Linked DNA regions of Ovis aries. The protein of the gene in region 1 interacts with the protein of each later gene in a pairwise test. Links are inferred from orthologs where the notes say so. Each region holds a gene or a part of one and is shown on either strand. Other genes may lie near its edges. The genes, in order: FBF1 and ACCS.

Region 1 (4,350 bases):
GGGGTTCTGGGAAAGGGGCACTTACCCTCATCTCCCAGGAGGTCAGCAAGGACATCATCGATGGAGTCTGGAACAGGAAAGGGGCCACCGTGACTTCAGGAGGAAAGAAAGGTCCTTTAGGGCCTCATGGCTTGAGACCTCATCCAGGATACTCCACCTGGATATTTCTGGATACAGAGCCCAATAAAAAGGATTTTTCCCTGAGTCCCATCTGTTGTTTATTTCTGAATTACTCCAAGGGCCAGCAAGGCAGCATAGGGGGTTCCCTAGGAAAGCACAAGCTGCCTTTGGGATTACAGGGACAATAGCAAGACTCACACCAAGGGACTTCCCTAGTGGCCCAGTGGCTAAGACTCCATGCTCCCAAGAGAGGGGGCCTGGATTCAGTCCCTGGTTAGGGAACTAGTGACTGCATGCTCAGTCGTGTCTGATTTTTTGAGACCCCATGGACTTTGTTGCCCGCCAGGCTCCTCTGTCCATAGGTTTTTCCAGGGTACTAGATCCTACAACTAAAGATCCCAAGTGCCAAAACTAAGACTTGGCACAAATAAATATTAAAAAAAAAAAAAGATATTCACTGAGAACATTCAGGCAGACATTTCTAAGTCATGTGGACCCAAGGCAGGGGAATTATTTTTGGCTTATGGGTGATGTTTCATCCCCACTTACCTTTCAATCTTTTCTTGGTTTTGGGTGCCTAAAAAGGGAAAAACAAATCCCATGAACAAGAGCAGACAGTGAATGTGTACTAAAACCCAGAATGCAGAATGAACTGTTTTGCCTTTTGCAAAGATGGGGACAAGGAACACCAGTGGCATTTGGGGACAGACGCCCTTTATGGTTTTCTTAGAGTTTCTCGGAATAGACGCATTCAGAGCATGAAAAGGGCCACCCCCAACCAGCAGTGGATGCCACACTGGGTGCCATCTGGTGGGCGGAAGTTTCTCCTTTCCCCCAGATTTCCAGATGCCACATACAACCCCTCCCAGGATGTAACGTTTTCCTCTAATCCATCTCCCTGACTGTTCAGTATCAGTGACAGATACGTATAAATGCTTTCCAGATGGATATTCAGAGGCTCAAAAGAGATGCTCGCTTACTGTTTAATAAGAAGTTGCTTTTTTTCTTTTATGCCGTGCTACACAGCTTGCTGGACCAGGGATTGAACCCATGCCCCCTGCATTGGGAAGCACAGAGTCTTAACCACTGGACCTGCCAGAGAAGTCCCATTAATAAGTTTGATATCCATGCTCCTAATCATCACTCTTCTTTGGGGCCACCCAGTCCCCAAAGTACTTCATGCAGTTAAGCTCTTGGAGGTGGAGGCAGGAGGGAGGGTAGACTCCCATTTCCACACACCTGCTCTGATTCTGTGCTGTTGGAGAAGACTCTTAAGAGTCCCTTGGACAGCAAGGAGACCCAACCAGTCCATCCTAAAGGAAATCAGTCCTGAATACTCATTGGAAGGACTGATGCTGAAGCTGAAACTCCAATTCTTTGGCCACCTGATGCGAAGAGCTGACTCATTTGAAAAGACCCTGATGCTGGGGAAAATTGAAGGCAGGAGGAGAAGGGGATGACAGGAGATGAGATGGTTGGATGGCATCACTGACTCAATGGACAGTGAGTTTGAGTAAGCTTTGGGAATTGGTGATGGACAGGGAAGCCTGGTGTGCTGCAGTCCATGGGGTCGCAAGGAGTTGGACATGACTGAGCAACTGAACTAAACTGCTCTGCATTCTGCTTACCATCTCAAGGCTCTGGGGGGCTGCTTCTAGGTCCTTCACAGTGCTCTCCAGCTCACTGGAATTCTGCCTGTCAGGCTCATCCTCCCTAATGAAGAAAATTAAAGTGTCTGCTCACAAACAATTTGGCTTTAACAGTGCTTGAGTCGAAGATTGATAAAGCCTTCTCTCACTTTACCCGTTCAAGAGGTCAAAACCTATTTCCGTCAGTTAAAAATTTCTTATGGTGGGTGATTCAGATGAGAGGCAAAGTGTTCTGGGTAACTTTTCGAGGCTTGGAGATTATTTGAAAAAAGTGCAGTGGTCCTCATTCCTTATTCTGAAAGAGGATACAGAAAATGGCAGGTCCCCATCTTAGAAAAGAGGTGGGGGTCTGGCACTGCGGTCTATACACCTTTCCAGGCAACACTCAGGACTACTTTCCCAGCAGCAATCAGCACACAGAACGGAAGTGAAAGCTGGTTACTCCTTGATAGTATTTTCACTATCGTTGGAAAATTTCCCCCTTTAACTGTAAATCCAACTCACTCCATTAGTGGTGAACTGTTTTCACCAGAATTATCATTCTTTTCCGCCCCCTCCTCAAAAAGTTCCGCACACTGACCTTTGGCACGGCTTGGAAGAAAGTAATAGGAGGTGGGCGGCTCTAGTTGCCAGGTGCCAGCCTGTCCTGTTATTAGAATGCAAAGTTAATGTGGGGTTACTGCACAGGGGCCACCCTGAATGCTTGAGTTTCTCCTCTGTAATGGCAGTGTTCACGACCCAACGTGTTTTGTCTCCCATCACATCTAGGAGCGTCTCCCATTTCCCAGTGATCCTGTCCCAGCCTCGCAGGCCGTGGGAATTTCTAAGGGAGGCTGCAAAGGGCCTCAGGACCACAAGGACCATCGCATCGTTGTGCACAGCCAACTCCGTGCCAGGCGTTTTAAGATCCCTTAGCTAGGGCCCTCCTGGTGTCACCCCCTCGGTCCTCGCGCCCAGCCCATCTCGATCCCGAGTGCAGCCTATGATCCTTCCAGCCCTTGAAATCCTCCCCACGCTCCCTGGCCCCCGCGCCCCGGTTACGTGCCATTCCCTTCGGAGGCGCAGCCACTGGGACGTGTCCCAGACATAGCTGCCGCTCCAGGATCCACTCCAGCCCGGTTCAGTCAGGCCTCCAGCTTCGGAGCGCTACGGACGCCAATCTCTCGGTCGCCCGGCCTCCGGAAGAAAGGAGAGGCGCGAAGCATCCTGGGGGTTGTAGTCCTAAACCCCCTCACCTGCTAGAGCCAAGGGCCTCTGGGGCGCTGGAATGAACCACACTTCCCAGGGTGCCCCTCCGCGGCCGTTAGTCGGCGCACCATGTCCAGTTAGCCGCTGGGCGCGTTGCTAGGAGCTGCCTCAACGCCCCTTTGCTAAGCGGGCGGTACGTGGGTTCCGAGGCCAGTGAGCTTCTTCCTTCAGGTTTTCTGCAGAACTACCACTACCTGGGCTCCAAAGTGAAGTGAAGTGAAAGTCGCTCAGTTGTGTCCGACTCTTTGCGACCCCATGGACTGTGAATTCTCCAGGCCGGAATATTTGAGTGGGTAGCCTTTCCCTTCTCCCGGCGATCTTCCCAAACCAGGGATTGAACCTAGGTCTCCCGCATTGCCGGAGACGGCAATGGCACCCCACTCCAGCACTCTTGCCTGGAAAATCCCATGGACGGAGGAGCCTGGTAGGCTGCAGTCCATGGGGTCGCTAAGAGTCGGACACGACTGAGCGACTTCACTTTCACTTTTCATTTTCATGCATTGGAGAAGGAAATGGCAAGCCACTCCAGTGTTCTTGCCTGGAGAATCCCAGGGACAGGGGAACCTGGTGGGCTGCCGTCTCTGGGTCGCAGAGTCGGACACGACTGAAGCGACTTAGCAGCAGCAGCAGCTCTCGCATTGCGGGCGGATTCTTTATCAGCTGAGCCACAAGGAAAGCCCACCTAGGCTCCAAACATTTAAAGTTCTTCCAGGAACTTCCTGGTGGCCCAGTATTAAACTCCGCGCTTCCACAGCAGGGAGCACAGGTTTGATCCCTGCTCTAGGAAGTAAGATCCTACATGCTCCACAGGTACAGCCGGAAAAAAAAAAAAAAAAAGAGTTCTTTCAGCATTCTTTTGAGGGCTCACTGGTGGAAAGGGGGAGGGCGTGAGAAACGTGTGAAGAGTGGAAAACTGATGGGCCGTGAAACCATAAAGACTAGGAAAGTGGCTGTGACCTTCAATTATGAAAGCCAAAGCTGTTAAGCCAGGATGAAACCCAACACCATCACCTAATAAAGACAGTAACACTTTTTGTGTTGATTACAGAGTTTATTAAGGGTTTTTAAATTTTACAAAGGAAGATGGGGTTAGTGGTTTAGCTTATTCGAAGGTTGGTGGGTCACCACTATCTAACCGTGACTCAGTCTTTGGACCTGTGCACCTCCTCCAGTACTCCCACCTTCACTGACATGTTCTGCCAGGCATGCGGAACAATACATGCTAAATACACTTCATCAGGTAGGAACCAAACTCAAACCACGACAGTTAAAGGGGTAAGAAGGTAGCAAATTATATGCGCCAAAGTAATTTCCTTGAATTCATAGCAACTGG
Region 2 (4,295 bases), on another chromosome or scaffold:
ATATATTATATATTATATAATATATAATATATTATGTAATATGTAATATATTATATGTAATATATTATATAATATATAGTAATAAATTATTAATGTGCAATAAGTTATTATATTAATATATATGACTATATATGATATTATATACTATACATAATATATTGTAATAATATATATTAGATTTAATATATAATCATAATATATCATATATATTATAATTATAATATATATTACACTATTACTACAATAACTAATAATTACTAGTAATAATTTATAATAATAAATCACAATATTATAATAATTATAACAATTATAATAAAGTATAAGAATTATGATATAATATATTTATAATATTTTTACTATATTATATGTATTTAATATAATAATTAGTAATTAAAATATATTTATAATTGTATTATTATAATATTTAGTAATTGTGTTATTATAATAATACATTTATGATAATAGCAACTGCCGCTTATTGAATGCTCTATGTGAAGCACTGTGCTAATAATTTATATACCTGATAACATTTAGTTTTGACAGTACAGAATATAACAGGTATTATTACCCCAATATAAAGATGAACTGAAGTTCAAAGACTTTAAGTAGTTAGCTCAAGAATATACAACTTGAAAGCGCAACCCTTTCAGCCTGAACCCTAGTTCTGTCCCAGCTCTAAAGGTGAATAGTTGGGCTGTGGACCAGAAGCCATATAAGAGCACTCCCTGGTTATTGAATTCCTCCCCCACAAATCAAGTTTCCCTTAATTATAAGAGGGCCATTTTCTGATTCAGGTAGTATATTGGGACCTCTCTAAGCAACACTGGAAACCCCACTGGAAGTCAGAAGTCCATGACTCCAACGTGACAAGAGCAAGCTGGGTGCTGCCTTATCTTTCAAGGTAGGGTGCCCTCCCCTAGTTCTCTCCTGGGTCCCAGTGGGGCAGGGGGCATCACGCACACTGGGGTTTTTGTCCTCATCGTATTCATCCATGTGGTAGGTCCTGTAGCCCTCCTCCGCTGAATCCCAGAACCATTTAATGACGCTTCCTCTAGAGGACAGGTAGGGGCTGCTGGAGGGGAGCACGGCAGCAGGGTCACCCACTCCGTAGAACTTCAGCGGCTTCTGGTCGGGTTTTCTGGAGCATTCTCTTTCCAGACCATCTCCCTTGTTACTGGGTAGGCCCTGTATGGAGTCTGAATCTGGACAAGCACTAGTCATCCTGGATTCCTTCTGAGGGAGGGTGAACATCTGCAGAAAAACAAAAGCATTCAATCTCTGATCTGATCAAGGACCTTCCATAGCACCAAGCATCAAAAATGAACTGTTAGGGGTGCGGGGGGCTTCCCTGGAGGTCCAGCAGTGAAGACTTCACTTTCCAAAGCAGGGAGGTGAGGGTTCAATATCTGGTTGGGGGGTGCCTAAGATTCCACATGCCTTGTGGTTTAAGAAACCAAAATTAAAATTAATAATAACAATATAACAAGTTCAATAAAGACTTAAAAAGTGGTCCACATCAAATACAAAAAATCTTTTAAAAAATGAACTGTGAGGCATGGGGCCCTCCCCCTTCTCTGTCTCCCCTTCCTTTAAGTTTATACAGTTATCACTTCCTGTGTCCCCTGCTAGTTGTGACCGTGTGTGCATTTGCTTCAAGGCATCAACCCTACTAAAGATTTACAGACAGAGGGTTTATTTGCTACTGTATACAACTTTAACTAATGGCCACTTCCGCTTGCTTTTACTTTTGGAGAAGTCTTTGATTCTGCAGGCTAAAGTGTCACCAGCTTCTTTTTTCCCGTCTTGCTGACCTCAATTTAAAAAAAAATTTTTTTCTGACTTAGAGCAGAAAGGGCCTGGAGTCCACGGGTCTTGCGGTGACTGATGTTGATGACTTGGAGCAGACAATGCATGAGGCCTGAGAGGAGGGAAATGGGGGTCTCTGCAAGTGCAGGGACCCGGGGCAGCACCTAGAATTCCATCTTCACTCCCAAAGTGGGGCAGTTCTGGCCTCAGGGAGAGGCTGGTCTGATCCTGTGCTCTGATGTGAACTCCACTTTCTAAGCCAGTGTCCTCTTGGGCAAAGTGGGTGTAACAGTAACTATTTCATACGGTAGCCCTGGTGAGGACAGAAAAATATGAGTTAGTGTAAATGGCTTAGAACAATCCTGACTCATGGCCGAAGTTCAGTAAATTATATTTATATTTACTGTTATTATAAAACTCCCTGCCAATTTCCCTAGTCCTGATGCCCAAGCCTCACAATACCCGATGCTCAGAAACGCACGGGGGCTGCCGGGTTAAATTTTGCTCCATGAAGTCATTTCTAGGTCCTCCCCCAACTGACTGGGCCTCCTGAGCCTTAACTCGGATCACCACCCCCTACTCCGCCTTAATCCGCCTCCCCGCAGCCTTGGACGGGAGAGTTCAGAGCCGGACACCCACGTGGCCGGCCTCGGAGATCCGCGAGATGGCGGCCAGGCGGGTGGCAGAGAGCAAGGCCCCTGCAGGCGGCGAGCCCCCGAAGGGCCCCCTGCTCTGCAAAGCGGGGATCGCACCTCCTCGGCAGAGCTGAAGGCGCCGGCACCCAAGGCTCCGGGGACGCGTCCACCGCGGCTGAGCGGGGCGCATCCAGGCCCAGGCACCCGCACTCGGGCCCGTCTGCGCAGGGGGCGCACGAGGGGCCGCACCGCGGGGCTGGGCCCCCCCAGAGCCTCTCTCCCCGAGACCGGCTCCCACCTTTGGCCGCCCAAGCCGGAGGGAAAGCCAGGGAAGGGGAGGCGGCCCGCGGCCTGAGCCGATACAGGAAGGGGCGGGCGCCCGCTGCCACCGCGGCGCTCTACGGCCTCGGCGCGCTGACCGCCTTCCCGACCAGGTCTCCCCGCCCCACAAACGCAGGCGCCTTCCTCTGCCTCCAGGCCTTAGCTTCCCCATTTTAAGGCAGTTACCAGGGTTACTGGGCAAATATATGCCTGGTTGGGGCCTATGGAAAAGCCTTTAGGATTAAGGCGTGCGCATCCTTAAAACATCCTTCTGCTGAGAGAGCTTTTGACCCGAGTTTGTCATTTCTCCTCCTCCTTGCGTACTACAGAACGCTTGTTGAACTCCACCTTAGACCTACACATTCTGAGACTTTGGAAAAGAACTAGACCACCCAGGACCTGGGCCTACACAGAGCCTTAGAGTAAAATTCTCCTTTTCCCCTGGGGAAAAAAAAAACTAGCAGGATCCGTCAATACAGTATATGTGTGTCTGTGTATATATATACATATATACACAGACACACATATATGGTAAGTGCATTATTTATATATTATGTATGTAATAATATATATCAGACACGACTGAAGCAACTTAGCATACATATATATGTATATATGTCTACATACATATATACACACATATATATACATGTATATATAGTAATATCTAGAGCAAACAGTTTTTAAAAAGTCGAAAGTGTTTGCTAAATACATTATAGAGTTGGACACAACTGAGTGACAGAACTGAAGAAATCACAAGGAAAAGTAGAAAACTGAATGATCATAAAAACTCAAGTTATCAAAATTTATGGGATGTTGCTAGAGCAATGCTTGGAGAGAAATCAATAACTTTAAAAAACTTTAGGTCTAGTCTTCCCTATTAAAAAGCTAGAAAAACAACAAATTGAACCCAAAGTTTAAAAAAGGAAATAAAAAGTAGAAATGAAACAGAAGAGAAACATATTGGGGGGGAGGGAATCAATGAAACAAAAAGTTAGGTCTTTGGAAAATATTAATTGATAAACATTTAAATTAACTGATCAAAAAATTCATTTCAATATAAGGAAAGAAAATTATAACACAATATCCTTCATGAAAATAGATGTAAAATTTTTAACATCAAAGCCAAATCCGACGATATATAAAAAGATGATGCATCATGACTCTACGGGGCTATTGCAGGACTATAATGTTTTTTAATCAATATAATTTCATCACATTAATAACTAAAAGAATATTATCTCTAAAAGTACAGGCAAAAACATCTGGTAAAAACTGAACACACATTTATGGTAAAACTTTCAGCAAACTAGGAACTGAAGGAAATTCTTCTATCTGGTAAAGGCAGTATGAAGAATATTTCTAGTAACATTACACTTATGAGAGACCAAACGCGATCCTGTTAAGATTGCGAACAAGGCAAGAATGTTCTTACTTTTTAATTCAACTGTGTACTTGAGGTTCTCGGCCACGAAATTACAACAGAAAAATAAGAGACATAAATATTGAAGAGAGGGAAAATCATCTCTTCTG

What was found.
Region 2: the proteins of FBF1 (region 1) and ACCS interact in a two-hybrid assay, tested with the Homo sapiens proteins (2 studies listed by BioGRID and IntAct). The two-hybrid records come from large-scale screens. The link is inferred for Ovis aries from reciprocal best matches to the Homo sapiens genes FBF1 and ACCS.

What each region holds. Positions count from the first base shown.
Region 1 is NC_056064.1:55,040,056-55,044,405, reverse strand, and holds the start of FBF1 (fas-binding factor 1), read right to left. Parts: upstream 2,933-4,350; 5' UTR 2,811-2,932; intron 2,416-2,810; exon of another isoform or gene 2,350-2,415; intron 2,065-2,349; exon of another isoform or gene 1,924-2,064; intron 1,834-1,923; exon of another isoform or gene 1,830-1,833; 5' UTR 1,752-1,829; coding exon 1,749-1,751; intron 698-1,748; coding exon 670-697; intron 68-669; coding exon 26-67; intron 1-25. UniProt on the Homo sapiens protein: Keratin-binding protein required for epithelial cell polarization. Involved in apical junction complex (AJC) assembly via its interaction with PARD3. Required for ciliogenesis.
Region 2 is NC_056068.1:73,086,897-73,091,191, reverse strand, and holds the start of ACCS (1-aminocyclopropane-1-carboxylate synthase-like protein 1), read right to left. Parts: upstream 2,807-4,295; 5' UTR 2,559-2,806; intron 2,469-2,558; exon of another isoform or gene 2,446-2,468; intron 1,769-2,445; exon of another isoform or gene 1,746-1,768; intron 1,252-1,745; coding exon 961-1,251; intron 1-960. UniProt on the Homo sapiens protein: Does not catalyze the synthesis of 1-aminocyclopropane-1-carboxylate but is capable of catalyzing the deamination of L-vinylglycine.